Regions from separate parts of the Mus musculus genome. Here regions 2, 3, 4, 5 and 6 are each reported to be linked to region 1. Evidence: microRNA targets listed by miRTarBase, many of them from high-throughput screens and not tested one by one. Region 1 holds a microRNA gene; each other region holds the end of a gene's coding sequence.
The links. The annotated mature microRNA mmu-miR-24-3p reads UGGCUCAGUUCAGCAGGAACAG and lies in region 1 at 3,011-3,032, opposite strand. An mRNA with a match to its seed (bases 2 to 7 or 8) in the 3' UTR can be bound and repressed. Matches are read on the target gene's strand: a 7mer-m8 pairs with bases 2 to 8, a 7mer-A1 pairs with bases 2 to 7 and ends in A, and an 8mer does both.

Region 1 (5,070 bases):
TAATCCTTGTCGGAAGCATCCCAGATAACACGGAGGGGTGTGTCTCCTCTGGAGAAGAGATGGAGTAACTCTAGGCTGTCTTGGTTGGAAGGAGGCCATTTCTGGTGGGATCAGTGAGAACAGGCTGGCCCAGCCCTGGCCTGTTGTTCTCAAGTGATGGACATCTGCTTAGCAATGACGATGACAGTATTCAGTGGCAGGGTTAAGAGGCTGGTGTTTCTGCTATCCCACTCACCTCTTGGCAGTTATCTCACACGGATCCTCCTGTCCCGGCCCCTCTACCTACTGGAGGCATGGGCCTGGTGGTAGAGCACTTTGCTCCCATTGGGTTTCTCTCACCCTTCAGCTTCCTCCAGGAATGAAGTGAGGCTAGAAAACGGCATGGAAATAGTGCTGGCAACAAGTGTGCCTGACCACCAAGGACAGTCTCAGTCTCTCCAGGGACAGAGGAGCAGACTCAGGTTCAGGCTTCCAGGCTTTCAACACAGGCTCAGTCTCACATCTGAGTGGTGGGAGGGAGAGTTCCTTAGAGGGGTTCCAAGCCCCTGCCTAAGGCTTGGACACCAAAGCTCTGAAGACCAAGCACTACAGAGTGGTCTACAGCAAACACTGACCCAGGGATCCAGCTTCTTGCTCTGCCCACTTGTGGTTTGGAGCAGGAGCCTGGGTGATGATCCACATCCTTCCTCCGCCAACAGTTCACTCATCACCTGAACCATATGCTATAGAGCAAACTCCTCCCTGGGTGAGACAGCTCAGAGGAGGAGGTCAAGCCTCCCTAGACATCCATTCTTCCGCCCTCAGACCCTGCTTCGCATCCTATTTGACAAGTTAACGTTTGCAATGTTCTGTGTCCTGTGAAGTCAGGTGGCTCACGGAAGAATGGAGACTGCACTTTCTTGACTCCAGAGGTCTCAGCCAGATGAGGGAAGCCTGCTTCCACAGCCTCATGGGCCTCTGGTGCAGCTATGGGTGGCAGGAGCTGCTGCCTAACTTGTTGGGGTGGGGGACTAGAGGAGAGGGGAGGATAGGCTTGCTCTGCACCCAGCCAGAGGTGGCAAAGGACAGCTCTACCACAGATCCTTCACCAAAGCTGTGAAATGGGCATCTGGTTCCAGTGAGATCTCCACTTACCTGAAACCCATTGGCAAGAACCCAAGCCAGACACAGCCAGGCACAGGGCTCAGTGACCCATGGGGACAAGGGACTTGATCCCTGAACAAAACCCACCTTAGGCGACAGCTTTGTTTTGCTTTAGTGGTTCCTAAGAACAAAGAACAAAACCAGACTAAACCAGTGCTTGGCTGCTCTCTCCAGTTCAGAGGAGGTATGGGCCACTGAGGTTCTCAGAGGGGCCTTACAGGGTGTGTGGTTCTTAGTCCACCTCTAAGCAAGGCCAGAGTGCTTCTGAGAGCAGGAAGGCATAGACTCAGCCATTTATTTCAAGTCTTCACAGAAATCAGGGTAACATTAAGTAGAATTAACACACTTTGATACTTGTACCATTGTGGTATACAAAGCAGATAACCATTTGCAAGTCCCCTGCAACCATCCAAATGCAGTCACTGCTACAGCCCAGGCTCTGAAAACCAATGGTTCTGTGCGGACGCTCCTCTCAGTCTGTCCTAGAGCCTTTGTCACCCAGCAGGTCTGGGTGCAGAAGCCTGGCCAGCCAGTGGGATGCTCCTTCTGGTTCCTCTGTCCACCGCTCTGCCTTGGCTGGGCTCATGTGACTGCACTGATGGCTCAGTCTCAAGCACCGTTCTCTAGACAGTGACTGAAAGAGCTTAGAGCTTGTTCTGAGACTCCGCTAGTACCAGGCTGGCTGAAACTCCACATTTGGAAGAGAGCAGAGTCCCAAGCCACACTAATTTCCCTTTACTTCCAACCTTTTTAGAATTAACATTACCTGGAGGTAGGAAGTGTGTGGAAAGTGCCTGTTCTGACACACGTTCTTCTTTGCTTTTAAGGAGCATCAAATTCAGAAGCAAACTGGAACACTAGCAAATCTGGTACTTTATTAAGACATTTTAGGCTTTCCTGCATTTTCAAAAACAGGAATGCTCTGTTGACTGAACACATCAAAAGGGCTTTGCAGAATCCTTGGGGACCAGCCACAGGAGGTGTCACATGATTCTGCAGTCTCAGAGCATGGCAGCTAGTTTTTGCAATCACAGGAAGCAGGCAACCGGCTCTCCATCTGCCTAGGGGAGGGTGTCCTTCATTGAATGACTGCCTTAAAGTCACAGCTCAATTCCAGTGTGTAGACTCAGTCTCTCTAGGACTGGGAACAAAGGCAGCTGCCAGGTGCAACAGTTTATGAGGCTCCGCCTTTTATATATGCCACGGGAGCCCAGTCTCTGGAAGCCCAAGATGGACCAACCACTGCTGTGGGCTGATGGCCTTAGCAGCCACATAATCCTCCCTTTGATGTCCAGGGTCAGTGCAGTCCTGGCCCCACCAGGGCTAGGAGAAGGTATATGAGAATCTCACTGTGATCTGTCCTGTGGAGGAAACAGCAATAAAATTTATTACCCAGTCACCACAGCCATTCCAACAGGAGTCCTCCCAGCCTCTGACCTCCACTTGAGAGGGAACTTTTCATGGGAGGACAGGGGCAACACTGAAGCCACACCTCACAATCCTGGGTCTGGGGTGCACAGTCACGGCACAGGCCATGCAGGGCTGTGAAGCCCAGAGAGGTTCAGAAAGGCTCTACAGACAAGGCCCTTCAGACAGGCATTCTCACTGCTCAAGGCAGCGGTGACATGGTGTGCTCTGCCCCAACACGTGGCAAATGCTCAGCGCCTGCCCTACCTGCTTCTAGGGAATGCAAACTTTCCAAGGTTAGCTCTGCACTCTACAAATCCCCACCTCGGGAGCACATACAGAGGGATACCACTGCTGTTGGGTCTGGTACCAGACACTCAGGCCCTTCATCTTCTTCTCCGTGGGAGGCCTGCCTCAGGCACTTACAGATGGGTAGGCTTTTTGCTCAAGGGCTCGACTCCTGTTCCTGCTGAACTGAGCCAGTGTGTGAAATGAGAACTGATATCAGCTCAGTAGGCACCGGAGGGCGGGTCCAATCACAGCTGGGCAGTGCCTCCTGGCGTGCCCTGGGCATCATCTTGCCAGCGACTGTGGAGACATGGAGACCTGGACTGCAAATACAAGAAAGAGTTCACCACGCCCAGCAGGGACAAAGAACCACACCCCCACCCATCACGTGTGGCATCAGCTGAGACAAGGTTGGCTCAGTTTCCTTGATGCACCTGGGTTTAGTTTTCTGTGACTCCCAATACACTTGACATTACAGTGAACTAATTAGCAGTAGAACTGTATTTTCTGTAGACACACTTAAGGGTGGTCAGCACGCTGTTTGCACTCTTGACAACACAGCCTTGAGGCAGGCTGGTCTCTCCTCCTCTGGAGTGACCACCAGGCAGTGGCCTCTGCCTGGCAGCTGCAAGTTAACTGTCCCCATCTCACCTTCTCTTCAGGTGCAGAACTTAGCCACTGTGAACAAAGCGGAAACCAATCACTGTTCACCAATCAGCTAAGCTCTGCACCTTGTTAGAGAGGTCATCGCCGGCCATAATTAAAGGGCTGGTGAGCATCTTCGAAGGCTGTTGGCTTCTTTTGTTTCCAAAGAGCCACAAGGCGCCTCTGTTCTCCAAACTGCAGAGAGAAAGTAGCCACGGTTCTGCAGGAGCAGCCAAGGTCATGGTTGCGTGGTAATCCCTGGCAATGTGATTTTAATCTCAAGTCACAAATCAGCATGCCAGGAACCCAAGCAGCCAGAGCAGGTGAGGGCAGCACCATGCCCAACCACTCCCATCCACATGTGCTGAGTGTCCTCCAAACCGCCTCTGAGCCCACCACGCTAGCAGTGCAGCCTGCTGTCCTTCAGCGCGCTGGCTGCACTGTATAGAGGAGCATAGGGGACTGGGAGACAAAGGACACACTTATCAGCTATGAGACCAATACCTTAGGGACCATCCTTGCTCTGAGTATGTGGCCTTTAACCCTGGGACACACCCTGTTCTCCAATTGCAGACTGAATGGGTTGGGATGTCTCTGGGCCCCTCAGACAGCAGGTGTGGTGTGTAGGGAGGGAGCATCTCTCTGGCTTGCCTGTGACCAAGCATTTGGTTGGATAAGCTGAGGCATAGCACAGAGCTCATAGGGGACCTAGCAAGTTGAGGATTTGCTCACTCAGGGGGCAAAAATACTCTTAGAAGAGTCACTAGGACCACTATGTGACTATGGCTTTCCTAAGTGAAGGCCTAGGGACCTAAAAAGGGAACAGTGGCTTTACTGTGTGACCTTCACACACCACATACCAACAATCCCTCAGCTTACAAGTTTCTAGAGAAATGTCTGCAGGAGGCAGTGAAGAGGCGCCCCGACCGACTCTGTCTATCCACACAGGCCACCGTCCTAGCTTGTAGTGTGCAGGCTTAGCAGGCTGTACCTGCTTACTCCAGCCCACTATCTCCCCTGCTTGACTGTGGCGGTCCCCAGCTCTTCTGCAACAACATGGTCATACATAGTAACATGTTTTCCCTTCATCAGTGTAGTTCTTCAGAAAAATAAACATTACACAGAAGTGGGTTTTATAAAAGTGAAATGTGAAAATGTAAATTTAATGTCTGACAATGGGTTAAGATTAGCAACACAATTCTAAATATTCATTAATTGGTAATCATAGAGAACAACAGAGTAACACAGTGATTGATGTAAAATTTCAAACATATACAAAAGTAAACATCATATGTACCACCATGGCAAGCGATAATGTCCTGGGATGATGTAGAGATGATGACTGGCGACTATGAAAGAGACGCACTAGCCCACACCTGTCTCAGAACTCCACGCCCTGTGGCTGAACTGCATTACTGGTCCACAAGCTGGCTACAGAGGAGGCAAGTTACACCACAGCCAAGGACTCTGGGAGCCAGCGTAAATCCTGTTCCAGCACGAGATGGAAACAGACTTGCCTTTAGGACGCAAGTGTCACTTGGATGGAGGGGCAGAGAAGACCTGCTGCCTACTCTACAGGTCAGAGAA
Region 2 (5,070 bases), not on the chromosome of region 1:
ATTCTTACTACAGAAAGCTTTGTGAGTAGCAAACTTGTAAAAAGAAGAGTACAAAAGGAAACGTCCATATTAACACAGTTGCACCCTGGAGACAAAGCATCCCTTGGAGACTGCCCACAGTCCGATATGGCAATTTCTCAGTAATGGAAAAGCAACCCAGATATTTGCGCCCCACCCACCGCAGCACTTGATCATTAAAGTCCATGGTTTGTGCGGCTTCCAGAAAGAGCCATTTCCTGTAGTTATAGTACTTGCTGGTACTCGGTCCAGAAGCCAGGAGGTACAGGCCTTGAGGCAAGTCATGTTTGATTGTCACAATGTTTCTACTCTGAGACAATAAATACAAGTAGAGCACTACAGCTCTTCATTGAATCAAGTAACTCCAGTTTAATAGAATACAATTTAGTGCATTTCAGAGTCTCATTCACAGTTCCGCTTCTGTCCGAACACTTTTGCAACAGAAAGAAACCCAAAAAAGCTACGGAGAAAAAGAAACCTCCAGGTGACCTGTCAGCACAAAGTTCACAGTTTCACAGGTCGCTGTCTGTGAAGAGAGGATGCCACCATCCCTGGTACCTCTGCGAAGTGCTCTCCTTGGTTGATTTCTGGAGTGATTTGGGAGAATACCACCTTTCCCCTGGATTAACCGATTTCAAAAGCCTGTGATAAATTCGATTCATGTGTCCACCCTGTCAGCCAAGCAGATCGCCCAAAGCCTGAACTTGCATTGTAAAATCCTGGCCCCTGTATGCAGGGATCTGGGGCGTGAATGTCAGTACCCACCTGACAGCCCCACGGCAAGACTCTGGGACAAGGCCTGAGGCAGGTCAGGGGTGCCCGAACCCAGGCCCAGTTGCCTTTGGTTTGGGGCTGGCCCATAGGCCAGAGATGTTTCTAGAAAGAAGGCAGCAGGCATCTCAGGTGCGCCATTCTAACCCTGAGCTTCATGACACTGTAGAGGGCTAGAAGCCACACCAAAATGGCTAGCATTAAGCGTCGCATGCATCTAGCTAGTGGTTTGGGTTTATGTGTGGGACAAACAGTTTAGGTGCAGGTCATCAGGACTGGAAAGGCTACTTTTGGCTTGTCCTATACAGTCTCAGGCAGAGACAGGGCAACATGCAGGAAGAGCCACTTAATTCTTCCATCCTGAACCTGACACAAATTGGGGCTCACCCAGACTTTTTTCCTTGGATGGTATGAAGGCTGGACTAGGTAGAAAAGATTCTCAGGGCAAGGTACACAAAAGGGGAGGGAGGGGCAGCCAAGGCATCTGTGGAGACACCTGCACTGTTCCTACTAGAAAGTGTTGTTACATTGTTGCCATTTGTTATCAAGCAGCCTGAGTGTTCAGAGCTCATCTCTTTAATCAGACTGGTTCCGCCTCTCCCCCTTCACTCCCCTCCCCCCAGGACAGGGCTTACAGCATCTCAGAGATGTGCCTCATAGATGCAGTCTCACCAAAGACCCATAAACAGCATGCATTTGTTTTGTTTGTTTAACCTTTGGGTTAAAAAGTCTTGTCAAAAGGAGAGTGTCCCTGATCTCTGAACTGCCCACATTCTGACCATTCAGCCTTCCTAGTGTGATGCTCCTGCTTCTCCAAGGATGGTCACCAATCAGGATGCTACCACAAAGCCCTCAGAGAGAGAAGCACAGTCCCTAGATGCTCAACAAGCAGTCAGGAGAATGGCAGCCATTGCTGAAGTTCAACACAGCTTCAGAGAGGCCTGCATGAGGTATGTGGGTGTGGCCAGGGACCAGGGGTGGGAGACCACCTGGACAGTGGAAGGGTCTCTCGGGGAGATGATGGGAGCCTCACTTATCTGGCTCTTGACCCTGAGTGGGGAGGAGGCCATATCCCAGTCTGGGCTGACCTTGTGGGGGTCCCTCTCCTGGGGAGCCTGAAGCAGAGCCAGCCTAGCAGGCCAGCCCCCCCACCCCCCAGGCCACCAACCATTCCAGTTCCAGAATGCCTCTGGCTCCTAAGCCTGCTGCTTCTAGCACGGGCTCCCTGAAGACTAGCAAACTGCTTCAGAAGTTTGCTTCACAACTTCTGCCCGAATCTGGGCATGACATCTGCCATGCCTATCAGTAGTAGGGTGTGAAGGAAAAAGAGAAAAAGCATTATTCTGAGATTTATTAATTTAATAGAAAAATTGAAGGGGCTCTCCTCCCCCTTTTCTTTCTGAAGCAGATGAAAAGCAAAATCTGACCCCACCCCACCCTCAAATAAGCCCACACCCACATTACTAGTGTAGTTTTTATTGCTCTCAGAAGCGCTGCATTGGATGATGAGCAGGCCTAGGAGGGCAGAGCCTGCAGCCCGGAATCCTCTGTCATTCATAGACTCAACGGTCAGCTGACCCCAAAGGCTCAGGGCTTCTGTGGGAAGCCAGAGGCATTAGTGAAGTGGTAAAGGCTCTGAGGTTGCTTTCCCCAGCGGGGGAGGGGGGAGGCAGGTGCATGCAGGGCAGGGCCCATTGGCCTGTTACCTTCCGATTTGTGAGGAGACGGTGTGTGGGGAAAGACAGAGACCCCAAGCAGACAAAGACAGAAAGAAAAAACCCACCAAGGAGGGAGAAGACCCTCAGGAATGCCCAAGATGGCTCGTAGTTGGCAGAGGCCAGGGCGCTCAAGTCTTCAGCTGGAGGGGAAGAGATTCATTGTCTCAGTTAGCCTGACTCAACCTTTCACCCTTACAAGCAGCCTTGTGTGTTGCTGTTACCCAAGAGTGGGAGAAACCACTATTGTGCATGGACCGTGAGGCTATTAGCATCTTCTGTGACTCGGTCCCCAGCACTTGGAGCCATACAGTCAGGCCCAGGGCTGCCCTCAGGCTTCTCTAGGCCTCCTTCCTCCAGTGTACACTATAAATCTTCTCTGCCTTTACTATGAGTTCTGGTTGCAGTATGCCACAGGGGGGAAAAATTACCCAGTTTTTTTCTTGTTAGAAAACATGAATGACATTAAAAGAGCCAGTTCCAGACAGAAGGTAAAAGCTTATGATGGTGTTTCCTGAGGACCTAGGTCTCCCAGAAACCAGGCAGGTCCTTCCTGTGCTGAGCGAGAAGGAAATGGGCCTCCAGGGCCAGCAAAGGGACCCTGGCAAGGCACCAAGTGCAGGCTGAGGTCCCCTGTTCTTTGCCAGGACAGTGTATGTCACTGAGGTGGTAAGGGGCAATGGTGGGTATGGTCAGCAGCCATGACACCTGCCTGAATAGAGGCAGAATAGGAGGAGGTCAGGGAGAAGCTGCGAGCCAGCCACAGACCAATGCCTGTAAAAAGAGATTCTAATGCTAACAAGCACTAAAGGGGTCTGACTGAGAACGGGAGGCCTGATGGTGACACGGCCCTCTGAAGAGTGTCCCAGGGGAGTTCCATAGGCTGCAGCCCCCCAGGCACCACAGCTCTGAGGTGTGGGGCTCGCATGCGGTCTTCCCATCTGGCCCTGTGCAGGATGGCAGCCTGCTGGCTACAGAGGAAGAGAGAGAGAGAGGGAACAGTATGGAGGTGCTGTATGAACTCAAGGGTTCCACATTCTGCAGAGTTCTCGGGCGGGCGTTCACTTTTAAAAGAGACTTAAGGTGCTTAGACACAGCCCCCAGCAAGGCGGTGCCAACAGAAGCTGCAGAGGACGGAGGTGTGGTCTTCAGCCCCACCCCACCCCAGGGGGGGGGGCGGGGAGGGAGGGCAAGGGAAGGACAAAAGGGCCAGATCCACATTCAGTGTGTGCTTATCTCTAAGAAGACTTCCTCCCTCTCCCGGGGCTGGAAGCTAAGGTGCCAAGCAGGGCGGGATGAATGCTGCAGGACAGGGGGCTAGCTGACCTGCCCCCAGTAGGCAGCGGCACCCAGGGAGAGCCAGTGTTCTGGGGCACAGGGCACAGGGTTGGGGCCAGGTTACGTCCCCCAAATAACTGATAATAAACAAAAGCCTCATTCTAAGTTTAAGAAGGGAGAGCAGCCAAGGCTGCCTCTTGGAGGTGGAGTTCTGGGGGAGCGCCGTGGCCCCACCACCTCCCCCAAACCCGCCTCTGTCCCCGCAGAGGGCTGATGGGACCCTGCCGGTGCTGGCCGACCATCTTCAGCTGGCAGGCCGAGTTCTTTGCTCTTGGCTCAAGTTTTGTTAATATTAGTCACCAGTTAATAAGAAAAATAGTCTCTAAGTGTCTCTTTCCCTCGCGCTTGTGTGTTCTGTTTTTAATTGAGTTAATTGGATACCGCATCAGGTTATGGGTGTTCAATCACAGCATTAATTATTCCTTTTTCTTAAGCTCTTGGTTGCCATAGCTGGAGCCTTTCTCTATCTCAGTCACTCCTATCAGTCTCCGGACTCCGAAGGAAGCTTGAAAGACAAGAGAGAAGAGATTAGAGGCTAACCTCACCAGGACACCCTCACTGGCCTTGCCACCCCCACCTCACTTGCTTCCTCCCCGGGTATGGTCACTCTAGTACAGGAAGCCATGGGAGAGTGAGAGGAGGGTACAGTCCTCCACAGCCACCATGTTCAGGAGCCAGGGTCACTCAGTCCCTGACCTGGGTCAGCTGCTGCCTCCTGGGCCCATCACGATGAACCAAAAGTCCTGGGTATGGGTGGCCCAGTGACCCCAGCATGTGAGCGGGCACATCTGTGCTCTTTACCTGCTCCCACGAACCCCAAGAACGTCAGGATGAGGAGCGGGGATCCACTGGCAAAGACACCCAGGACGAAGCTGAAGAGGGGTGAGAGGAGGATGGTGGCCCAGCACAGGAAGTTCAGGAGGGTCCACGGCCTTCGGGCAGGCTTGAACTGCTCCCCTGGGAATACACCCTTCTGCTTGTACATCTCTTGCAGGGCATCCTGAAAGTCAAGGGGACAGTACAAAGTTGAGATCCACAAGTGTGACTCTGATTCAGGAGAAAACTCAGCAATAAAAGCCACTTGCCCAGGGCACAGAATGAAGCAGACTGCCCCAGTGCAGGTGGGAGGAGCACTTCCTTGGAGGACCTTCAGTTGCTGTGTGTCATCTGCAACCAGGAAAGGAATTAGCTAGGATCCTGCCAGCCAAGCAAGCAAAGCTGCCAGGGG
Region 3 (5,070 bases), not on the chromosome of region 1:
AGTTTCTGACTTGGGATAGCTAAAGCCAACTTGCATTTCCTATGTAAAAAAAACATGAGGGGAAAGATGAGCCGACTGTATGTGGGTAGCCCATTGTAATTTACGAAGCTCGTTTACTTACATAGTATGTAATGCTTACAACAGCCCTGATCACGGAGCCAGAAACCAACTCCAGTACATAAGTACTCAGTACTCTTTTTTTTTTTTTTTTTTTTTTTTTTTTGGTTTTTCAAGACAGGGTTTCTCCTTATAGCCCTGGCTGTCCTGGAACTCACTTTGTAGACCAGGCTGGCCTTGAACTCAGAAATCCGCCTGCCTCTGCCTCCTGAGTGCTGGGATCAAAGGTGTGCGCCATCACGCCCGGCCTCAGTACTCTTCTTAGTAACCAGGGTGCAGAGGTCTCTGATTCAGTCAAATGAAATTATCTTCCCATTGCAGACTCAACGCAAAGACAGGCAAACTGGAAATGAGCTATTCCAAGTTCAAGACCAAGAACCTCTCTTTCCTGGGCACCTTTATTTTAAAGGTAACAAGGTAACAGGAGGTAAGGCCCGAGGCCGCCATCCTTAACTTGGGAAAAGAGAAACCTAGGCCTTTTCAGGCCCAAGGGGAGTTTGGGAACATCAAGAAGATCCCTATTCGTGAAGTAGATCTGCATAACTGAAGTCATCTTCACCTCTGGTCCCTGCAGGTAGCAGAGAACCTCCGGTTAGTGACAGTTCACCAAGGTGAGAGTGAGGACGGTGCCTTCACTGAGTGTAACAACATGACCCTCATCAACTTGCTACTTAAAGTCTTTGGGCCTATACATGAGAGAAACCTCACCCTGCTCCTGCTGCTCCTGCAGGTACAGCTCAGGGTGGGGCTTAGTAATGCCATGGCGTTTACATCTCTGGTTGGCCTTGCTTCTAATTCCAGTCCACTTCTCCCAGGTCCTAAGCAGCGCCGCCACCTTCTCCATTCGTTACCAACTCGTCCGACTCTTCTATGATGTCTGAGCTCCCTGACAGCTGCCCTTTACCTCACAGTCTCCATTGGACCTCAGCCAGGACCAGCCTCTGTCTGGTCCGAGATGACCCTCTGGTCCAGGCCTCGCTGACACTTTTGTTCTCAGCTTCTGCCATCTGTGACTACTGATATCCTGGATGGACACCTTGCTGGACTTGAAGTCCGCTAGTTGGACTTTGCCTAGGGCTTTCATCTTGCCTTGCCCTCCCTTTCTGTCCCATCTGCAGCCTCACCAGGTGGGCTTGTAGCCTCTATTATGCAAATATTCGTAGCTCAGCTTTCAGAGCGCTAACTCTAAAGGAATTCACCTGAGCCTTGAGAGAGAACCTGGGCTAGGGCTAGAGTTAGGGCTACATACTCCAAGGTGACCTCACATTTGACTATCAAATGAAGTGTTGTGATTGGGAAGCGTAGAGGCAGGGCCATGTGCTCAGAACGGTGACAATAAAGGACTGCCTTTTACTTGTTCCTCTAGTGTAGCATCCCCTCCCTCTGTCCTTTTTAACCTTCGTGGTGCTTCAGGAGTGAACACCGGGGCTTCCTTATACTTAACTGCTCTACCACTGAACTATATGCCAAGTCTGGTATATTTATTTTTTATATAGGCATTTTAGGATAGATTGGAAGGGTTAGACCGGGTACCTTTCCCAATAGGATACCGATCTCTGTTCCATCAGACCCTTTCTTGCAAAAAAGGCCTGTCACAAACTAAGACCAGACAGAACATGTTGAATAAATATCGCAGCACAAACTTGTGATAGCATAAAAGATCACAGTGCTCCATTTTCTGGCATAGGATTAAACTCCTAGGAGGTTTCATTTCGTTTCTTTTAAACCCTCCCTCCCTTTAATCTGCACTAGGGAGGCAGAGGCAGGCTGATCTCTGAGTTCCAGGACAGGCAGGGCTACTCAGAGAAACCCTGTCTCAAACAAACAAAAGCCAGATGGTGGTGGCGCACGCCTTTAATCCTCAGGCTTGGGAGGCAGAGGCAGGCGGATCTCTGAATTCAAGGCCAGCCTGGTCTACAGAGTGAGTTCCAGGACAGCCAGGGCTACACAGAGAAACCCTGTCTCGAAAAACAAACAAACAAACCTAAAAATAATAATGAACAAATAAACCCTCCGTCTACCAGATTAGAGGAGGGAGTGGGAAGTGCTCTAACCTGGAAGGAGAACGCTGCTTATAGTGTAGACCCTTTTCCTTTAAGACCAAAGACCGACTCAAATTTCCCAGAAACTGTAGAGGTAGCTCCAAGCTCCACCCTTCTAGTCTTCAGGTTTTGTTGTCGCGCCGTAGCGTTTAAATTTCGCGCGCTCTACACGGATTGGCCATTTCCAGGGGTGAGCAGCCTCCGGCTTGCGGCCACTCCGCCTTGTCTTCTTCCCCGGGTAAAAGGTTTTCAAATTGGACCAATCACTGGGCGCGTTCTCTCAGCTAAGGCGCGTCACCGAAGGGTTAATTGCAACCAACCAGAGGTGGGTATTAAAAAAGGAACCAATCAGGAGGAAGCGGGGGCGTGTCCAGGGAGTTTATAAGGCCGGGCTTGGCCGGCCAGGCGACCGTTGACTGCGGCGGTTGGTAGTTCGTGGTCTCTCAGCGTTGTTCGCAGCTCTTCTACCTCGTACACTATGTCCGGACGCGGCAAGACCGGCGGCAAGGCCCGCGCCAAGGCCAAGTCGCGCTCTTCACGCGCCGGCCTTCAGTTCCCTGTAGGCCGCGTACACCGGCTGCTGCGGAAAGGCCACTACGCCGAGCGCGTGGGCGCAGGCGCGCCGGTGTACCTGGCAGCGGTGCTCGAGTACCTCACTGCCGAGATCCTGGAGCTGGCGGGCAACGCGGCCCGCGACAACAAGAAGACGCGCATCATCCCGCGCCACCTGCAGCTGGCCATCCGCAACGACGAGGAGCTCAACAAGCTGCTGGGCGGCGTGACCATCGCGCAGGGCGGCGTCCTGCCCAACATCCAGGCCGTGCTGCTGCCCAAGAAGAGCAGCGCCACCGTGGGGCCCAAGGCGCCGGCGGTCGGCAAGAAGGCCTCGCAGGCCTCTCAGGAGTACTGAGGGGGCCCGCGCCGAGGCCGCCCAGCCCTCCCCACACCTCCACAAAGGCCCTTTTAAGGGCCACCACCTCCCTCACAGAAAGAGCTGAGCCACTTCGGGCTGCGGCGGCTTGCCGCGTCCCCATCCTTTCTCTTTCCCTCCTCTCCCCTCCCCGCCCTCGCGCCACTCTTCCCCTTACCCCGCACGGCCTCCGGTTCTGCCACGGAGGACGCGGGCGCCGCGGCACCTGCCCATCCCGGAGCTCGTGACATCGCTTCGCCGTTCTCGGTTGTGGACGACGGCTCCGTGCGGAGAGGCTGCGGCGCCTTCCCGGAGTCTCGGCCCCTCGCTCAGACGTCCGGCCGCGGTGGGCTTGAAGGTTAGTCCCTCCGCAGCTACAGCCCCGGCGTCTTTGCTTCAGCTTGGTGCTTAGCCCTCGCCTGGACCTTTGAAAAGTGACTTGATTGCCGGGCTTAGAGGAGGAGAAATGGATCACATTGTTTCCTTCGGTGTCACCGTTGCTGGCCTCATACCAGTTGACCCTGTCGCCATTCGTAGGCCAGTGTGGTGTGGCGGGGCCAAAAATGGTTGTAATGTGAACCCAGTTTCTCTAGGAATACCTCCCGGCAAGGGTCAGAGAGACGCTTACCGGCCTGTGGACAAGAGTTCTATACCTGCCGCAGGCGACTGGCAGCCGGGCCTAGCCATCCATCCCCTCTTCCCCAGCGACTCAACTACAACCCAAACACCTAGATACCAGCACAAGCCGGTGAATCCCTGTCTGGACTGAGCCTCTGGCTTCTGAACTGGAACTTTTGCAGCTATTACAAGTTTAGAACCTTAAGTGGGGAGATTTAATGGGCTAATTTTATTAAAGGATCGTTTGGTTTTGTTTTTTTAAAAAAGTGGTTTAATGTTGAATGCTGTAGTCCCAGGGCTGGACATATAGCTCCGTGGTAGAGCCATGTGCCTGGCACATCTTGGGAGAGAATGGGACTTCCCTTTCTGCAGGCCGTGGGAGTGGGAAAGGCTATGTAATCCACGAAGATCCCGTTGACTGAAGACAGGCTGTAGGAATTGAAGGCTGATTTTTTTTTTTTTTTTTTTTTTTTTTTTTTTTTGAGAACATGAGGCAAATCACAGCGTGTTTTACAACAGAAAGGTCTCAGACTCAATTCAAGTTTAAAAGGGCTTTGGGTTTATTCATATCTTCCCCAACTCTATCAGAAGAACCACATTCTAAACTGGTTTATTAGTGGTATTGGTTACATTCAAAGATTGGCATGGACTTTCTCTAAAGAGATGAAGCCCCCAACTACTGAGGGAAAGGCAGATATGGAGGCCCCAAGGTGAGGCATATCTTCCAAAGTGGAAGTCTCAACAACCCCGTGGTTCAATTTCCTGGGATAATCACATCCCTAGGGATGGAGCACAGGGCACTTGGAAGCCAGAAGTAGGCAGTGGAGTGGCAGCCAGGGTTCCTGTGCCCTACAGACCAGTTAGCGCACATCATTAAGCTGCCGTGCAACATCCAGGATGTTCTTGGCTCCTTTGTTGAGCAGCAAGCTGGCCAGGCTGATGCCCAGGTTCTCAGCAGCTAGCTGGGCTCCTCTTGGAATGTTACGGGCAGTGATTCCAACCAGTTGTGGGTCATCTTCTGGACCATCTTCTTGCTGGATGACAGGTTACAATTTTGGTAAGAGGAAGATTACAAGCAGTTCTATTTATTCCTTCCTCATCTCCCAGTCAATACCTGAACAGGGACCTGGATGGTGGCCTGCATAGTCTCTTGCATGCTATCTGAGCCATCTAGACTCCAGACTCCACCAGTCAGGTACAGCTAGGAAATAAAATGTTTGTACCAGGATATTTAAAGAAAGTTACTTAGATGTTTCGGTGCACATGGAAATGACAGTCCCTCCCCTCATCCATTTCCCTGGCTTACTTGCCCATCTTTCATCACTGTATGCACTGCTACGGGCACGCTGCAGCCTCCTTCCTGCAATGATATGTTCCTTTGAG
Region 4 (5,070 bases), not on the chromosome of region 1:
CAGACATTTATAAAGGAGCTCATCTGAAGACATAAGAGCGGGTTAGGTGAGGGAGGTGTGAGGATAAAGACGCTCTAAAGCCAGCTCTTGACCAAAGGCTTGTTGTCAGGAAGGTGATGGGTGTCTGAAAGAGACAGGTCCATAATGAGTAGGTAGCTGGACAATGGAAAGATTCCCGACTCTTCCACTCTAGGTAATGGTTAAGATACATCTTGCCATCTTCCTACTTCCTGCTTGTCCTTTGTCTGGACTATCTCAAATACCTTGCCATCTTTCTCTCCTTCTCTGTTTAGGATGAAAGATACTAGCCGCAAGAATAACATGTTTGCACAGTTCCGGAAAAATGAGCGAGATAAGCAGAAATTGATTGACACCGTGGCCAAGCAGCTCCGAGGACTCATCAGCAGCCACCACTCCTGAATGTTGGCCTTGGGCCCACAGAGGGCCACTTGCTGTAGCCAGTGGTCCAGGATCTCCCCTGGGCTGGCCCTGCATTTGTGCATTCTTCCTCAAAGAGAGCATATGTATTTTTTTATTAACCCCTGTACAGTTTTCACATAACCTTTCCCTATAGTAAGAGAGGCACAAGAGTAAGCAAGAACCAGGGCTTAGAGGAAGTTACTGCTACACTTTCCTGGGAAAGCTACACTGTCAGTGCCAACATGGTGAGCCGCATCCAGTGCTCCACGAATTTAGTGGGTACCTAGCACTGGGAGTTGAGATGAGAAAGTAAAAGGATAATAATATATATCCTGTTTGCTCTCAAGTATTTGCTTAAGTACATAAGTAGAGCCTGGCAGACATGACTATGTAGTATGCCAAAGCCAGCCTCAGTTTAGGATATCTATCTGCCTTGCTGGTTGAATTATTGGCTCATGAGAGTGTGGCATGTGGCAAGATGACAGTTTCACTCTGGTCCCATAGCTTGCAGTTTCATTAGTTTAGGTCTGGCTGAGCCTTGTGGGGAGAAGGGTAGTTAGCTGAAAAGGAAGTTGCCCCACTAGGTGAGTTGTTTTTCTGAATCTTAAAAAGCCAAGTTGGGTCAGGACTCCAGTCCCCATGCCATTCATCTCTGTCTCTTCTTTTATGACCATAACTCTTGGTTCAGAACATAAATCAGCAATTCTTAAGGTCCCTGAGAGTCTCACACTCAATTCCAGCAGCATCTCTAAATGCCCAGATTCCCTGAAGTCTGAAAGTAGCCTGGGTGCCCTCACCATGGGTAGAGCCTCATGATGTGTGAGATTGCATATTCCTGTCTTGATGACAGCCTTACAGCTACCATCTTTCAAGAAAACGTCCCAAGCTCTACACCCTTGGGCACAACCACCATAGGACTAGATGTTTCTGAGAATGGATCTATCACCATGATGTAGACAGGGTCAACTGTAGCTAATGGATTATTGCCTCTGGCCCAGCTGTCATCAACAAAATAACATCACAGAGACAAGGCTTGTCTTGTTCAAGCCCAAGGCTCCCATCTTCTGAGCTGTCCCTTAGCCTCACCTAAGAGTGCTTTCTCGAAGTCACATCTCTGTTTTCTGGAGTGTGGGCTAACTATAGACTCCTGAGATCCTGTGAAGGCGTTCCTGTGAAGTTGGCCAGAGGGACTTTGCACTGAGACACTTGTAGAAGCTGTTAGCCTGACTGCTGCTGAGAGTTTAATTGCATTGTGGAACACTGACCAAGATGCCACAAAAGTGTTTCCAGCTCCAGTGAGGAGCAGAGAGACTGGTCAAGCAATCACTTATTACGTTTGTCAGCTATTGTGTCATTCTGGAACAGCTGTACTTCCATATCTCTTAGCCCACCACAGCCTACGTCATCTTGAACACGCCTCACCCTTGCCATAGCAATCTCAAACACCAGCAAGAAAAGTACACCACACAGAGGTACAGCTTTCTACAACTGGAGAGAACAAGCTACCCAGGTGTTCTGCATAAGCCTTCAAGTCTCATCATCAGGCTACATAATGGCCCAGAGGTTCAGGAAGAGTCACAGAAGAATACACAAAACTTACTAGCCAGCAGAGAGCCCAGGCCTGTGGAAGAGAAGACAAGGAGATCTCTCGAAGCCCTCAGTCTGTGACCAGTGAGAAGTGACTCCACAAACCTGACTGACTGAGAAGGAAGGAAAGGCCCTTTCTTCACCAGGGCTTGTCAGCCTTCAGTGTAGAGAGTGGGCTGTCACAACATTTGTCCTTTGGGGACACTTTTAATCACTCCATCTTGCTGCCTGTCTAGTTGCCACCTCTGTCCCAAAGGAACTGACATGGATGGAATGAAAACCATGTGTAGGACCAGGGCCACTCTACCTTCCTCACCAGAGTCCTGCTGACGGGGACTCTCATTCAGTCACAGAGTGTGAGGATGGCCGCTTGCCTTTGCCCAGCTCTGCGTCTGCTGTGCTGTTCTCTGACAAAGCAGCTTGCTGCCTCTGAGCCGGGAAAGCGGGGTCCACAGTGTGAGGGGGCTATGAATTGATGAGGTGGGACTTTGTTTTTTCATTTTGTCCTTAGGCCTAAAGCTGAGCTGGCCTTGAAGACTTGAGCACAGAATGTGTGCTGGTAGGCCTCAGACTCTGACCTTACCTCAGATGCCTACAGACCATATTCCTTCAGTTTCAGGTGGGGTGAGACGCTGCTGCCTGGAAGTCTGTGGCCTTCTAACCAGATCCATAGCCCTGTAGACAGTATGGTTTGTGAGCCTTGGTTAAGCAGGGGCTCACTTATTTTTTTATCATTCATGAGGGAAAAACATAACAAAACAAAACAAAACTCTCAGTACCAGGTAACACTGGTATGGGTGGAGAAGAGCAGGACCTGCATACAGGAGCCCAGAATCCCAGTTAACAAAAGCAGTATCTCCCAGTGACTCTATCATGCATCAGGCCTGACAGTCCGTCCAGCTCTATGGCACCCAGCTCAGCAGGTCCCAAGCCCAAGGGTGGCAGTGGCCAGTTTTCTCCTTAGACCTCTGAGTGCAGGCTTGGGTGGCTTCACCACGCCTCCTTCAGCCTGCTTTTGCTGTGCCCCTCCCTCCACCCCTCTGTTCCTTCTCTCCTATTCACTTGCATTTGCGTCACTCCTCCCTGACATGTTGGAAATTGCCTTTTCGTTTTGCGCAGTTCCACATTTGTGGGAGAAAAGCAGTGAGATCCATCTGAACCTCCAAAAGGAACCTTCTCCTCTCATGCTCTGCTGCAGGCTGCTGCAGAAGGGGGCTCCTCTGTGGAAAGAGCATGAGTAACCCACTCCCCTGTGCACCTTCCTCTTTTAACTGCTATTAAACGAGAGCCTACATACCCATTGCAAAAGCCACTGTGTTGTCTTGTGAGATTTTTCTTCTCATCCCTTTTGTACAATGTGTCTGTGGTTTGTGACAAATACTGGATAGCAGACAGCGTGTCCCCACTGAGCTGACTAAGGAGCAGAGCTAGCAAGAACCTGGTGGGAAGAGGCTGTGTTGTGACCTCCGGTGTTGTTAACATATCTGACTGGCACTGGTATAGCCACCAAGAGAAGTATATTGAAGCTCCTGGTTTATGTGGGGTGCTCATTAGCATGGCCTTATGATGTAACTGTAGGACACCACAGGATTGCTTGAGATACTTCAAAGCTTGAAGTTGTCCCTAGCCTGTTTTGTGCTGGGAGGCAGTAAAGGACCTTTGGGCACTCTGTAGCCATGGTGAGTAGAAATGTTCATGCAACAAGACCAACCTGCTCACCCTCAGAAGAGGCTGGAAAGAACACCAAGCGACCAGTCTCACACTTTTGTGGGCTTTGCTGCCAGAAGACCAGGACTTCATTCCTTCTATATAGCCCACTAGCTGGATCATCTTTTTAAAAACTTTTTATTGGTTCTTTGTGAATTTCACATCACACACCCCAACCCCACTTATCTCTCCTTCCCCTCATACCCACCCTCCATCCTTGCAACCTCCCGTCCCCAACAGAGCATGTGCTGCTCAGACAAGGTTCAGGGCCTGCTCTCCAGAGTGCTTCAGCCTGTGAGGGACAGAAACAACTTTCCAGCTTTGATGACCCAGGGGCCAGCTCTCCGGCCTGCTGGAGGGATCTAGAGAGGGGTCATCTTTCTCCTGCCCATGTCACCACACAGCAGACAAGTTTCAGAGCCCGGCTGGATCCTCTTGAACAATTAATTTGCTAGCTCAATAGTGACATTAGAGTTATGGTTCCTAGTTTTACAGAGATATTGTAAAATGCAAGAGCTGTGAAGGCTATAGAACCTGGCCTGACATAGCCATGCACTATTGAAGGCCTCCCTTGTTCTCCCTTCCCTCCGGTTTACAGCATGCCTCTTAACTGAGCATCTCACAGATGTATCTCCTGGCTTCCTTTCCAAGCCCATCACAGGGCAGGTAGGAAGTAGAGACTTCACATACCTCTGCAGGGCCCAGGACCACCAGCTACCTGGTTCTGAGTAAAGGCAGCTTTCAAAAGCCTGCTTTCAGTTCTGCCTGGAGCCTCCTCTGCTCTCACTTTGGTGCCATAAAATATGCCTCCTCCTGGTAGCATGTAGTTCAAAGGCAGAGGTACAGTTTCCTTGAAATGTGGGTGCGGATGTGGTGTACACACATTGATGTGTGCACATGGGCTTTCATCTACCCATTCTTTGTTTTGAGAAGGTTTGTGGCTTTTGTTCAAAGTGTAGAGAAAAAGACATGATTAAAATACTACAAATGATGACCAAATCCCTTTAAAGATTCCCTTGTGAGCCAACAAGGCTCTGAGCCATCAGTTTCTCTCCTTGTCTCCCTCCTCAAGTGCTGGCATATTTTGAAGACTGGTACCCACCCTTTTCAGGAACCTTGGTAGAAATCCAGGTCACTCCAAAGACCAGAACAGCTTTGTTTCATACCAGGATGTATATTGAGGGTCCAGAGGACTCTGTATTTTGGGTACAGGGAGATGGCAAAGGGTCTGGTGAGGCCATTGGCCTGTCTCAAGGCTGCTACCACAGGGCACCTTCCACCATCTCTGAGCTCCAGCTGCAAATGTCCAGCCGAGGAAGGACCAGCAGCTCCTGTGGGCCTGACTCACACCAAGGG
Region 5 (5,070 bases), not on the chromosome of region 1:
AACCTACTCTGAGGTTCTCACTAAGGGTGAGGGTGTCTGGCCCTCCCTCCATCCAGAGGAAACTGACTTTCTAGGTAAGTGACAGCAGGAGACACTAGGATAGTTTCAGGTTATACCCAACATAGGGCCAAACAACATCCTGGCAAAATCTAGCAGGAGGCAGAAATCAGAGCTGGTTTAGGAACCTAAGCAGGCAACAGAGAGCAGAGTGGGGAGGAGAGAGGACAGTGACTCAGGGCCCTGGAGGTGTTTGCTCTTTCTGGGCACAGCTATCACCATGCTCTAGATATCCTGAAATGGCTGGACACAGCCACTAGGTAGAGCAGTGAGGTGCCAGTGCAAGGGCTGACAGTCTGCTTCCCTCTGGCAGGCTCAGCTGTCTGGCCTGGCACCCTAGGATGAAAACTAAGGTAATGGGAACAGTGGGGGAAAGGGGCTCTATCCTACCCTCATGAGCTGCAAATTGAAAAGAGGACTTCCTGCTCTGCTAGCCCAAGTCCAGGCTCTGCTACTTTCTATAGGGAGGTTTGTGGCAAGTAACTTCATCTTTATACTGTGAGCAATTCCACCAGCTATGGGACCAGGCCACTAAAGAGTTAAACATGGTGACATGTGCAGAGCATTTTTCCCCCCCAAGATAGGGTTTCTCTGTATAGCCCTGGCTGTCCTGGAACTCACTTTGTAGACCAGGCTGGCCTCAAACTCAGAAATCCACCTGCCTCTGCCTCCCGAGTGCTGGGATTAAAGGCATGCGCTGCCACGCCTGGCTTGTGCAGAGCATTCTTGGGCCAGGTCTACCCTGAGTATTTCTGGGCTCATCAAGCAGGTTCCCCACTACACACATGGGGGGTGGGGGTGGAGAGAGAAAGACAGACAGAGAGATAGAGAACACCAAAGAGCAGTAGCTCTACCAACTGAGACTGCCACACTTCCCTCCACATTAAACCCTGATCTTAGGCAGTAGAAAGCGCCTGTGCTCAGGGATAGAATACTTTAGAGAAATCTCACTCAGCCTCATCTGGATCTTCAAACTTGGCAGTAGTGACTATTAGGTAATGGATGGCTACCCAGTGGGCTCACACCTCACTGACTTCCAGTCAAGTGAAGCTGGCACTGCAGCTTGAGGGACCAAAAAGCATCCCCAGGAGCTATACCACACATGGGGAAGGTGGCAAAATGGGGTGCCAATGCAGCTCTCCCAGACCGCAGGCTTGTGTTGATGGGTCCCACTGCTTCAGCGCCACTTGCCATTTATCCCCAGGCAAGGCGATGTCCATTCAGAGAAAATCACCTCAGTATAAGCCAGGTGTGAAGCACAAGGGCACCACAGCACTTGGATGCTGGAAACAAGACCAGCATGAGTTGGAGGCTACCCTGGGCTACACAGTGAGCGCCAAGCCTGACTTATGTACATGTCAATCTTTCCTTGCAAAAACAAATCAAAACCTAAGAACTGGGCTTGTAGTTCACTGGTAGGGAACCTATACTGAGCATGCAAACAGCCAAGTTCCATTATCAACACACACACACACACAACCTCTGTCACAGTCTATGGTATGCAGCTAAGCAAACCACTTGTTTCCCTCCCACAGCAGGGACACCTTCCTCCAGGATTCAGACAAGGCAGTACATCAGCCATACTCCGGGCAAGCTCCCATTCGTGGGGGGGAGGGGGGCCGCAACTTGCTATTGCTCTCACTGAATATTCTATTTCTTCCCCCAGATCCACCAGGGCTCCCACTGACTTGTCCTCTACCTACCACCACACTGCCCAATCATTGGTGACATTTGCTGTCCACAGCAAGCTCTCCAGTTCCCAGGACCTGAACCTACGCCCGCAGAAGCCCAGCCCGGGGAACAAGCTGTAACGGCCTCGCTACAGAAGTCAGTCAGGCCTGACAGTCAGGCTTCCTCTGTGAGGAGAGACTTCAGAGTACTCGTTGAAAACTTTGATGAGGAATATTCTAAGTAACACAGCAAACACGGGGACAAAGTTCATTCTTCACTCACACAGAGCACAGAATTCATGTCTGGGCACTGATGCCCCAAGTCACAGTGCCTGGCTCTAGGCCTGCTCCAGGATGCCAAGCAGACGGTATTCTGACATCCCTTACCTCACCCAACAACTTCTGGGAAATGGCACAAACACATGCACTTGGGCTCCATGAGGCTTCCTTTGCAGGAAGGGTGTGGGGCCAGAACAGCCTTGCGCCTCCCAAAGCCCAAGCCTGACACCCACTGCCCATGGCACCCAGTATCTGGATGCCATCCCAGCATCTGCACAAAGTATCTGTTTATTAATGACATACAAATAAAATGGATACAAAGAGAGATGGTTTTTTTCCCTTTGATTCCAGTGATAATGAACTGCTAGGAAAAAAAATATAAAACAAAATTACCTTCCAACTTTCCTCTTAAAAACAAAAATAACCCCCCAACCCTCCAGAAAAGGTTAAAAAGAACCATAAACATTTAACAGCAACAAAAATAACCTGAAATGGAATAGGTTCACTAAAACAAAACGAAAACTTTTAAAACCATTTTAACACTCCTGGAACAAAAAGCAAAAGAGCCTGGTACAGTAGATTAGACCTGCTGTTTCTCAAAACAAGAGGGCGGTAGACGATGCCTGATGAACCACTGGGCTTAACACCCACAGGAGTAATCTGCTGGTCTTGGCCACCATCCCGCTGGTCCAGTGAGAGATCCTGAAGGGCCCTTTGGGATGGGGCCTGCAGAGGGTGGGGAGCAGGGCAGGCACTGAGCACCATGAGTCCTGGTGCTGGGTGTCCAGTAACTGGAGACGAGACACTCTATTCACCTTACATGGGGCTTACACTGGGGGTTCCTTCTGGACCCCTAAGTAGGAGGTATCAGAGATTCATGATCTAAGACAGACAGAGATTAGGGAATAACTCCTGCAAGCATGCTCCTGTCTCATGATTCTCGGAAGGAGCATGCCAATCCCTTCTGGGCAGCTCCAACTCTCACCAGAGGTATAGCCCAGAAGCTAGCAAGCCAGACAAAAGCAGACCTATTCCAGTGTAAAGCTGCAAGGCCTTCTCCCAGGCAAGGCCAAGGGCTAACAACAGCACAGAGTGTTCAACAGCGGACAGACCAAGCAAGAAAGGACTCTCTGAGTCCAGGCTACTGCACAAGCCAAGGATCTGGGCGAGAGGTGACTCCTTTGGGGAGACTTGCCAGAACAGACAGCTGAGTCAGGCTGGGTAAGGTGAACAGACTCAGCTCGGTAGCAGAGTCTCTGAAAGCAACTGCACAAAGGCAAGCTCTCTGCCACGCCTCCCAAGGCGGAACTCAGGGGCAGCAATGGGGAAGTGGCAAGTCTGTTTTTCTAGGTAAGGATTTGGTTTTGCTTCCTTGAAGAACAGGATCCAGAGGTCAGGGCGAGTTCAAGTTCTAAGCCTGTATCCCCTGAGGAGGAAGGCCTTCTGGCTCTAGCCTGTCACTGTAGGGTGACACCCATGACAGGAAAGCAGTGGTACGCCACTGAAAGGCATCCCAGGGGTGCCAAGACAGTGGCACGAGTGCCTCATTGAGGCGGTGAGGGGTGGGGCTCGGGAGAACAGGCAAAGGGGCCTGCTGCTGGCTGGGGCCCCTCAGTCAGGGAGGGTGGCAGGGAAGTACCCCACCTTCAGAGAGCTATCAGCACCAAGAATAGGAAGAAATGGATTCAGCTATACCAGGAAGGAAGGGTTCTTCTGGGGAAGACGAGAGGCTCCCTGATGTTGTTCCCCTTGAGACTAAGAACAGAGGTATCTGGGCTGAGAAGAGAGGTGTGAGAACAGGCAGGACTTTGACTTCCTTCTTGAATAAAAAGGTCAAGTCAAGATCATGAAAATGCAGCAAAGTCCAAAGGCCCAGAGATGCCACATCCCTATGACAAACACGTAAGAGACAGCTCTTCCTGATCCTGTCTTACTGACAGTGGTGGAGGCAGACTCCCTCCTGAAGTTGGCTGGTCCCGAGACACCACCTGTGGATCTATAAGATTACAGTGCAAACCTTTGCACCTTGACATCAAGGGCTACATGGTCTCTGAAAGAGCACTTTGTCCCCAGAGAAAAGATGTCCAAGGTCTGTTGTATGCCCAGATTTGCATCCAGTTCTTTCTGGGGACCAGCAGACTCCAGGCCTTTTACAAACGTGGGTATTAACAACATTCCATTTGTCCATATGGGGCATGGTGTGCAACCCGGTCAGGAACTCAGCTGCAGACAAGAGGGAAGCCTTCCATTTTAGGGGCCCAAGAACTAAGTAAGTAGGCAGCTACTGCACAAGGATGAGCTTGACAGCCAACCTGTCAATCTCACGGCACCCTCTCCTCGGTGCTCCCTCCTGGCACTCTGCTTTTCCAGGAGGGAGGTGGAAAGGCAGCTGGGGTCACTGCTCCCCAAGGTTCTGTGTTCTCAGGATATGCCTGGCTCACGCAGAACTAAGGCACCCCACAGCTCTGAGGGTACCTGGCAAGTGGCATAAGACCAGGGAGGGGACAGGCCTAAGGAGAGTGACATCCCTTCAAAGTGGTTCTAGGAGTTCAGTGGCAACAGCCACCACAGTGGCCGCCTGTGTGGGAGTGCTGACTGTCCCCGAACTTGGTCCTCCGGCTCAGAATCTCATAGGAACAGTCCTCCCCACAGCAACCAGACATGCTGGGTGAAGAGTCATCAATTTCAAACCTGCAAAGACAGACAGGAAAAAGACTTGCGTGTTGGCAAGGAAAATGTTTGGCTCCCTGAGTCAAGAAGTTCTCCAAACTTCTGAGACCTCTGCAACGGGGTGCAAGGACTAAGTCAGAAGGCAGTGGGATAAGATAGCACAAACCCCAACGCCCATGAACACTGACTAGGACCAGGATGAGGGCAGGCAGGTACCTGGGAACCAGCAAAGGGACTACCCTGACCACCCTGAGGGACCACACCCGAGCCTTGTTCCTTACTGCAGTGCCTCTCGGAAGAACTGATAGGCGCCATGATTATGTTTAAAAACAGTTAACATCACCTTCTTCATCTGTGTGCTGGAAGAAAGCAGAGTGAGCACCTTTTAGAAACA
Region 6 (5,070 bases), not on the chromosome of region 1:
CCAAGCAGGTAAGGCCCTGCCTCCTGAAGCCCCACCCCATGGGGGCGGCCCGCTGCGCACAAGGGCTCAGTGGGGGGCTTATTCTGGTTCCCTAGGTCTTCACCTCAGACACAGAGGCCTCCAGTGAGCCCGGGCTTCACGAGCCACCCTCTCCAGCCACCACCATCCACATCCCCAGCCAGGACCCGTCGAACATCCAGCACCTGCAGCCTGCTCACCGGCTCAGCACCAGTCCCACAGGTGAGCGAGCGGTCTTCCAGAAGTATGTAGGTGGTGTGTGCAACAACAGGTCAGGGGCAGGTGGGAAATGCTTCTTTGCCCATTGTATGTGGTGCCTGCGGAATGCCAAGCAGTAGTTTGGGATCTGTGTGCACATCCATGCATGCATATATTATGTATGTGAGTGTATAGGTGCTCTACACACACATGCAGAGGCCAGAGGAGGTTGTTTTGTGTTTTTTCCTGTTTGCTTGGGGTTTTGTTTTTGTTTTTTTGAGGCAGGGTTTCTCTGTATAGTTCTGGTGTCCTGGAACTCACTCTGTAGACTAGGCTGGCCTCGAACTCAGAAATCCGCCTGCCTCTGCCTCCCAAGTGCTGGGATCAAAGGCATGTGCCACCACCGCCTGGCTGGTGATTCAGAATGTGAGGCTCTGCTGTCTCTCCCTGGAGCATCACTAAGAGATGGGCAGGTGGGGTAGGGGTCGGAGGGGACTTGGCCAACAGCTAGTAACCTCATTTGCTTCTGCAGTGTCCTCCAGCAGCCTGGTGTTGTATCAGAGTTCCGACTCCAACGGGCACAGCCACCTGCTGCCATCCAACCATAGTGTCATCGAGACTTTTATCTCCACCCAGATGGCCTCCTCTTCCCAGTAACCGTGGTGACTGCCTCCCAGGAGCTGGGTCCCCAGGGCCTGCACTGCCTGCATAGGGGGTGAGGAGGGCCGCAGCCACACTGCCTGGAGGATATCTGAGCCTGCCATGCCACCTGACACAGGCTGCTGGCCTTCCCAGAAGTCTACGCATTCATTGACACTGCTGCTCCTCCATCATCAGGAAGGGATGGCTCTGAGGTGTCTCAGCCTGACAAGCGAGCCTCGAGGAGCTGGAGGACGGCCCAATCTGGGCAGTATTGTGGACCACCATCCCTGCTGTTTAGAATAGGAAATTTAATGCTTGGGACAGGAGTGGGGAAGCTCGTGGTGCCCGCACCCCCCCAGTCAGAGCCTGCAGGCCTTCAAGGATCTGTGCTGAGCTCTGAGGCCCTAGATCAACACAGCTGCCTGCTGCCTCCTGCACCTCCCCAGGCCATTCCACCCTGCACCAGAGACCCACGTGCCTGTTTGAGGATTACCCTCCCCACCACGGGGATTTCCTACCCAGCTGTTCTGCTAGGCTCGGGAGCTGAGGGGAAGCCACTCGGGGCTCTCCTAGGCTTTCCCCTACCAAGCCATCCCTTCTCCCAGCCCCAGGACTGCACTTGCAGGCCATCTGTTCCCTTGGATGTGTCTTCTGATGCCAGCCTGGCAACTTGCATCCACTAGAAAGGCCATTTCAGGGCTCGGGTTGTCATCCCTGTTCCTTAGGACCTGCAACTCATGCCAAGACCACACCATGGACAATCCACTCCTCTGCCTGTAGGCCCCTGACAACTTCCTTCCTGCTATGAGGGAGACCTGCAGAACTCAGAAGTCAAGGCCTGGGCAGTGTCTAGTGGAGAGGGTACCAAGACCAGCAGAGAGAAGCCACCTAAGTGGCCTGGGGGCTAGCAGCCATTCTGAGAAATCCTGGGTCCCGAGCAGCCCAGGGAAACACAGCACACATGACTGTCTCCTCGGGCCTACTGCAGGGAACCTGGCCTTCAGCCAGCTCCTTTGTCATCCTGGACTGTAGCCTACGGCCAACCATAAGTGAGCCTGTATGTTTATTTAACTTTTAGTAAAGTCAGTAAAAAGCACGTGGAAGCTTCCTGACTGTCCATCAGTGGCCAGGAGGGAAGGCAGAGCGAAGCCCCGTACATGTTTACACATCTTTTTGTTTAACTGGAAATGAGGCGACTCTGCCTGAATCTGTGTGTCCTTGTTACTGCAAGAAACCCACCTGGTACTCCAAGTGTGCTACCATTCCCTGGAGTCCTGAAGCTGGGGTGACAGAGGGAGCCACCTGTGGTTTTTATATAAGATGCCCCCTTAACATTCGGCACAGAGGAGGTGGCTCAGTGGCCCAATATCTGCGTGGTAAGTGGGATGCCCCGGTTTGATTCCCCAGCACTGACGGTCGTTGGTGTAACTGCACAGGAGGCAAACCAGGAGACTGGCCAGCTGGAGCTACACAGAGACTCTTCTAGACAATAAGACAAAAATGATCAGCACTGACCAGGGCAGAGCTAGTGTAGGTCTTGGGACACGTGAGAATTTATTTTCCTTTTTCTCTTTCTTAGGGCCTTGTACCCAAGCCTGCATGCAGCCTAGCACTAAGCAGGTGCTCTGGCACCTGACTGTCAGTGACTGACTTACCTGTGGTATTAACAAGTCAACATGTTACAGACAAATGTGGGGAGAGGAGGAGGTGGGGGAGACCTTCCCTTCTTTTCCAGACAATGTTCTTAAGTCTGGGGGAGAGGTACTAAAATTTTTCTGGGGCCTCGGCAGCTTGGAGACCCCTGCCCATCATTCTCTAGGACAACTGTCATGCAAGGCTGCACAGGCTGGGGAGATGGATGCTCTGAGATTCAGTCCAAAAGCTGGGGAACGTTCTGGAACCACAAATCTATTCCAGGCCTCTCCTCATACACCCACTCCATTGCTTGGACTCTTGGCCAAGCCCACCTAAAGTCACCCTGGGCAGTCATTGTGGGAAGCTGGAAACTGGGAGTGTGGCTTGGCTCTGCCCTAACTCCATGGGCACCTGATCCTCAGGGCTGGACCTACAGCTTGGGGTCAGTTCTCAGGCTTCGCCGCTGCACACTCTGCTGGTGGGCACAGGGGAGCCTCTCTGGATTTCTTGGCCTTCTTCTTTTTCTTCTTTTGGATCCCAAGCGACACCGGGTCCCCATTGACAACGCCTGCCTCCTTTACCTGTTCCAGACCTGGGGCTGCAGCCAGGTCAGCATTGTCCACCTTCTTCTTGGCTTTCTTTTTCAACTTCTTCTTCTCCTCTGCCTTGGCAGGGCAGTGTATGGCTGACTCCTGGAGAATGTCTGAAGCCGACACAGCTGCCTCCCGGCACCGCTGCAGTTCCTCATCGCTGTCCTCACTGTCACCATGGCGAGTAGTCAGGTTAGCTGGACGGGTCTCCGAGCTGCCTGGTTGCCTCCGGACCAGATGGAGGCAGCCAAGTAGCTCAGGCTCGAGTCAGCTTCTCTGCTCGTCAGTCACATGGCTGCATTAAGTACCCGAAGCCTCTGACCCTTAGTAGTCTCATCTACAATGAGGGCCCTGACAGTGTCCAAACCTCATAGAGCTTCTTCTCAGGAGACAAGGATGATAAAGGCGGGACTCTGGCCCAAGATGGCTGCTCTTGAAAACCATGGGATTTCCCCCTCCCCCCCCCAGAAGACCCTGTGCCTTCCTGCTGGGGGAATACTTTGCCTTATTATCTCATGATCTCTTGCTCCGTCTGAGCCTGACTGGGGTTGCTTAGCTATTCCTCAGGCTCGGCCAGGAGAGGCTGTGAGCACTTACCTGGAGCTGGGGGGCTGGCGCTTCCGGCAGGGTCTTGGAGAGGCTTCCTTCTTATGGCCTCCGGGGATGGATGTGAAGAAAAGGCGGAAGCCTAAGACACCACAGGACAGAGTCAGAAGTCAGTAAGGCAGACACTGGCCCTAAGACACCACAGGACAGAGCCAGCAGTCAGTAAGGCAGACACTGGCCCTAAGACACCATAGGGCAGAGCCAGCAGTCAGTAAGGCAGACACTGGCCCTTCCCCCAGGTGCTAAGGACGCAGCCAGTCCTTAGGTACTCCCAGTCTAGTGGCAAGGCTTAGACCTCACTGCCGTGTGTGTGTGTGTGTGTGTGTGTGTGTGTGTGTGTGTAAACTGAAGCTGATCTGAAGCAAGGCTTGCTTGCCCTGCTGTGGAGCCAGAGGCAGGGGCTTGTGGCACAGACTGGCTGCCACATCTGGACAGTGAGCTTCAGGGGCTTCTGTTTTGGGACAGGATTTCTCTGTGTATCCCTGGCTGTCCAGAAACTAGCTATGCAGACCAGGGTGGCCTTGAACTCACAGAGATCTCCCTGCCTCTGCCTCAAGTGCAGGGATTAAAAGCACCACCTTACCCAGATTCCAGGGGCTTTAGAAGTCTGTAGCTGAGTCTCTTACCTGTGTTGGCTTCCAAAAGGGTCCACAAAAGGGTCAGGACCAGAGAGAGCAGGAGGGAAAGACTGGGTAAGAAGCCACAATGCTTGCAGGTAACAGGGCAAGTGGGGGGATCTCAGAGCTAGCTCATCCCGGGAATGGGGTGCTGTGGTTCCCACTTCAGAGTGTGGGGACAGCAGATGCAAGAAGGGCTGCTGGCCACAGGCACACAGGGGCATCTCTGCAGGGCAGCACTGGTCAGCAGTCTAAGGACTCACCATCCTCCTCCTTTGCCACCTGCTGCATCTTTGCCTTTTGCGACTTCTTCCAAACTTCTGCGATGGCAATGGAGCTGAGGGAGAGGAGGCCCAGACCAAGGATGACGGTTCGGGTAACAACAACTGAACAACTCTTTCTTTTCCTTGTTTTTTTTTTTCTGGGTTTGGGACATGAGGTTGTAATCCCAGAATCTGGGAGGTTGAAGCAAGAGGACATGACTGGGGGTATGACATGAGCCTCCGCTCACCTGTCCAGCAGGGCTCCCAGTTTCTTGGCCACGTGGGCTCGGAACTCAGGAGTGGTCCGAAGGTCGTTGCCATCTTCCTCGTGCTGGTTCACCTCATGCCTACAACACGCACAGACAGACATCAAGACATCACTTCCAGACAGCTTAGAAGCTGCCCTCAGTAGGGAGGGACCGCCTGTCTCCGTCCCTCTGACACCCTGTGGTCTAACCTAGCATCTGGCACGCACAGGGGGAATCAGTGTTTGTTGAATGA

Region 2: the mRNA of Agpat3 is a reported target of mmu-miR-24-3p. Seed matches in the 3' UTR shown: 7mer-A1 at 4,115-4,121 and 7mer-m8 at 2,374-2,380.
Region 3: the mRNA of Dpagt1 is a reported target of mmu-miR-24-3p. Seed matches in the 3' UTR shown: 7mer-m8 at 1,317-1,323.
Region 4: miRTarBase lists Exoc6b as a target of mmu-miR-24-3p. Seed matches in the 3' UTR shown: 7mer-m8 at 952-958 and 7mer-m8 at 2,437-2,443.
Region 5: miRTarBase lists Naa40 as a target of mmu-miR-24-3p. Seed matches in the 3' UTR shown: 7mer-A1 at 4,440-4,446.
Region 6: miRTarBase lists Hnf1a as a target of mmu-miR-24-3p. Seed matches in the 3' UTR shown: 7mer-m8 at 968-974.

The regions. Positions count from the first base shown.
Region 1 is chr13:63,299,213-63,304,282 of GRCm38, reverse strand. Mir24-1 (microRNA 24-1) reads right to left here and starts at 3,075; the gene lies at 3,008-3,075. It overlaps Aopep (aminopeptidase O), which reads right to left. Exons shown (of 16, transcript NM_001289926.1): 16 at 1,406-5,070. Mir23b (microRNA 23b) reads right to left here and starts at 3,799; the gene lies at 3,726-3,799. It overlaps Mir27b (microRNA 27b), which reads right to left and starts at 3,571; the gene lies at 3,499-3,571. It also overlaps Mir3074-1 and a transcript of Fancc not described here.
Region 2 is chr10:78,269,429-78,274,498 of GRCm38, forward strand. Agpat3 (1-acylglycerol-3-phosphate O-acyltransferase 3) reads right to left here. Exons shown (of 10, transcript NM_053014.3): 9 at 4,644-4,842; 10 at 2,135-4,347. The coding sequence ends at 4,259. Among named protein-coding and RNA genes, the nearest start is that of Gm30122, 7.9 kb to the left of the region's middle.
Region 3 is chr9:44,332,125-44,337,194 of GRCm38, forward strand. Dpagt1 (dolichyl-phosphate (UDP-N-acetylglucosamine) acetylglucosaminephosphotransferase 1 (GlcNAc-1-P transferase)) reads left to right here. Exons shown (of 9, transcript NM_007875.3): 7 at 439-526; 8 at 692-847; 9 at 933-1,771. The coding sequence ends at 998. It overlaps H2ax (H2A.X variant histone), which reads left to right and starts at 2,591. Exons shown (of 1, transcript NM_010436.2): 1 at 2,591-3,953. The coding sequence starts at 2,638. The coding sequence ends at 3,069. It overlaps Hmbs (hydroxymethylbilane synthase), which reads right to left. Exons shown (of 14, transcript NM_001110251.1): 12 at 4,994-5,047; 13 at 4,802-4,888; 14 at 4,224-4,721. The coding sequence ends at 4,548.
Region 4 is chr6:84,616,735-84,621,804 of GRCm38, reverse strand. It overlaps Exoc6b (exocyst complex component 6B), which reads left to right. Exons shown (of 22, transcript NM_177077.2): 22 at 294-3,319. The coding sequence ends at 420. Among named protein-coding and RNA genes, the nearest start is that of Cyp26b1, 25 kb to the right of the region's middle.
Region 5 is chr19:7,223,395-7,228,464 of GRCm38, forward strand. Naa40 (N(alpha)-acetyltransferase 40, NatD catalytic subunit) reads right to left here. Exons shown (of 8, transcript NM_027643.1): 7 at 4,958-5,035; 8 at 2,274-4,697. The coding sequence ends at 4,556. Among named protein-coding and RNA genes, the nearest start is that of Cox8a, 8.3 kb to the left of the region's middle.
Region 6 is chr5:114,945,864-114,950,933 of GRCm38, reverse strand. Hnf1a (HNF1 homeobox A) reads left to right here. Exons shown (of 10, transcript NM_009327.3): 8 at 1-8; 9 at 96-240; 10 at 749-1,954. The coding sequence ends at 873. 2210016L21Rik (RIKEN cDNA 2210016L21 gene) reads right to left here. Exons shown (of 6, transcript NM_028211.1): 3 at 4,818-4,916; 4 at 4,570-4,643; 5 at 3,681-3,771; 6 at 2,394-3,252. The coding sequence ends at 2,937. Among named protein-coding and RNA genes, the nearest start is that of 2210016L21Rik, 6.2 kb to the right of the region's middle.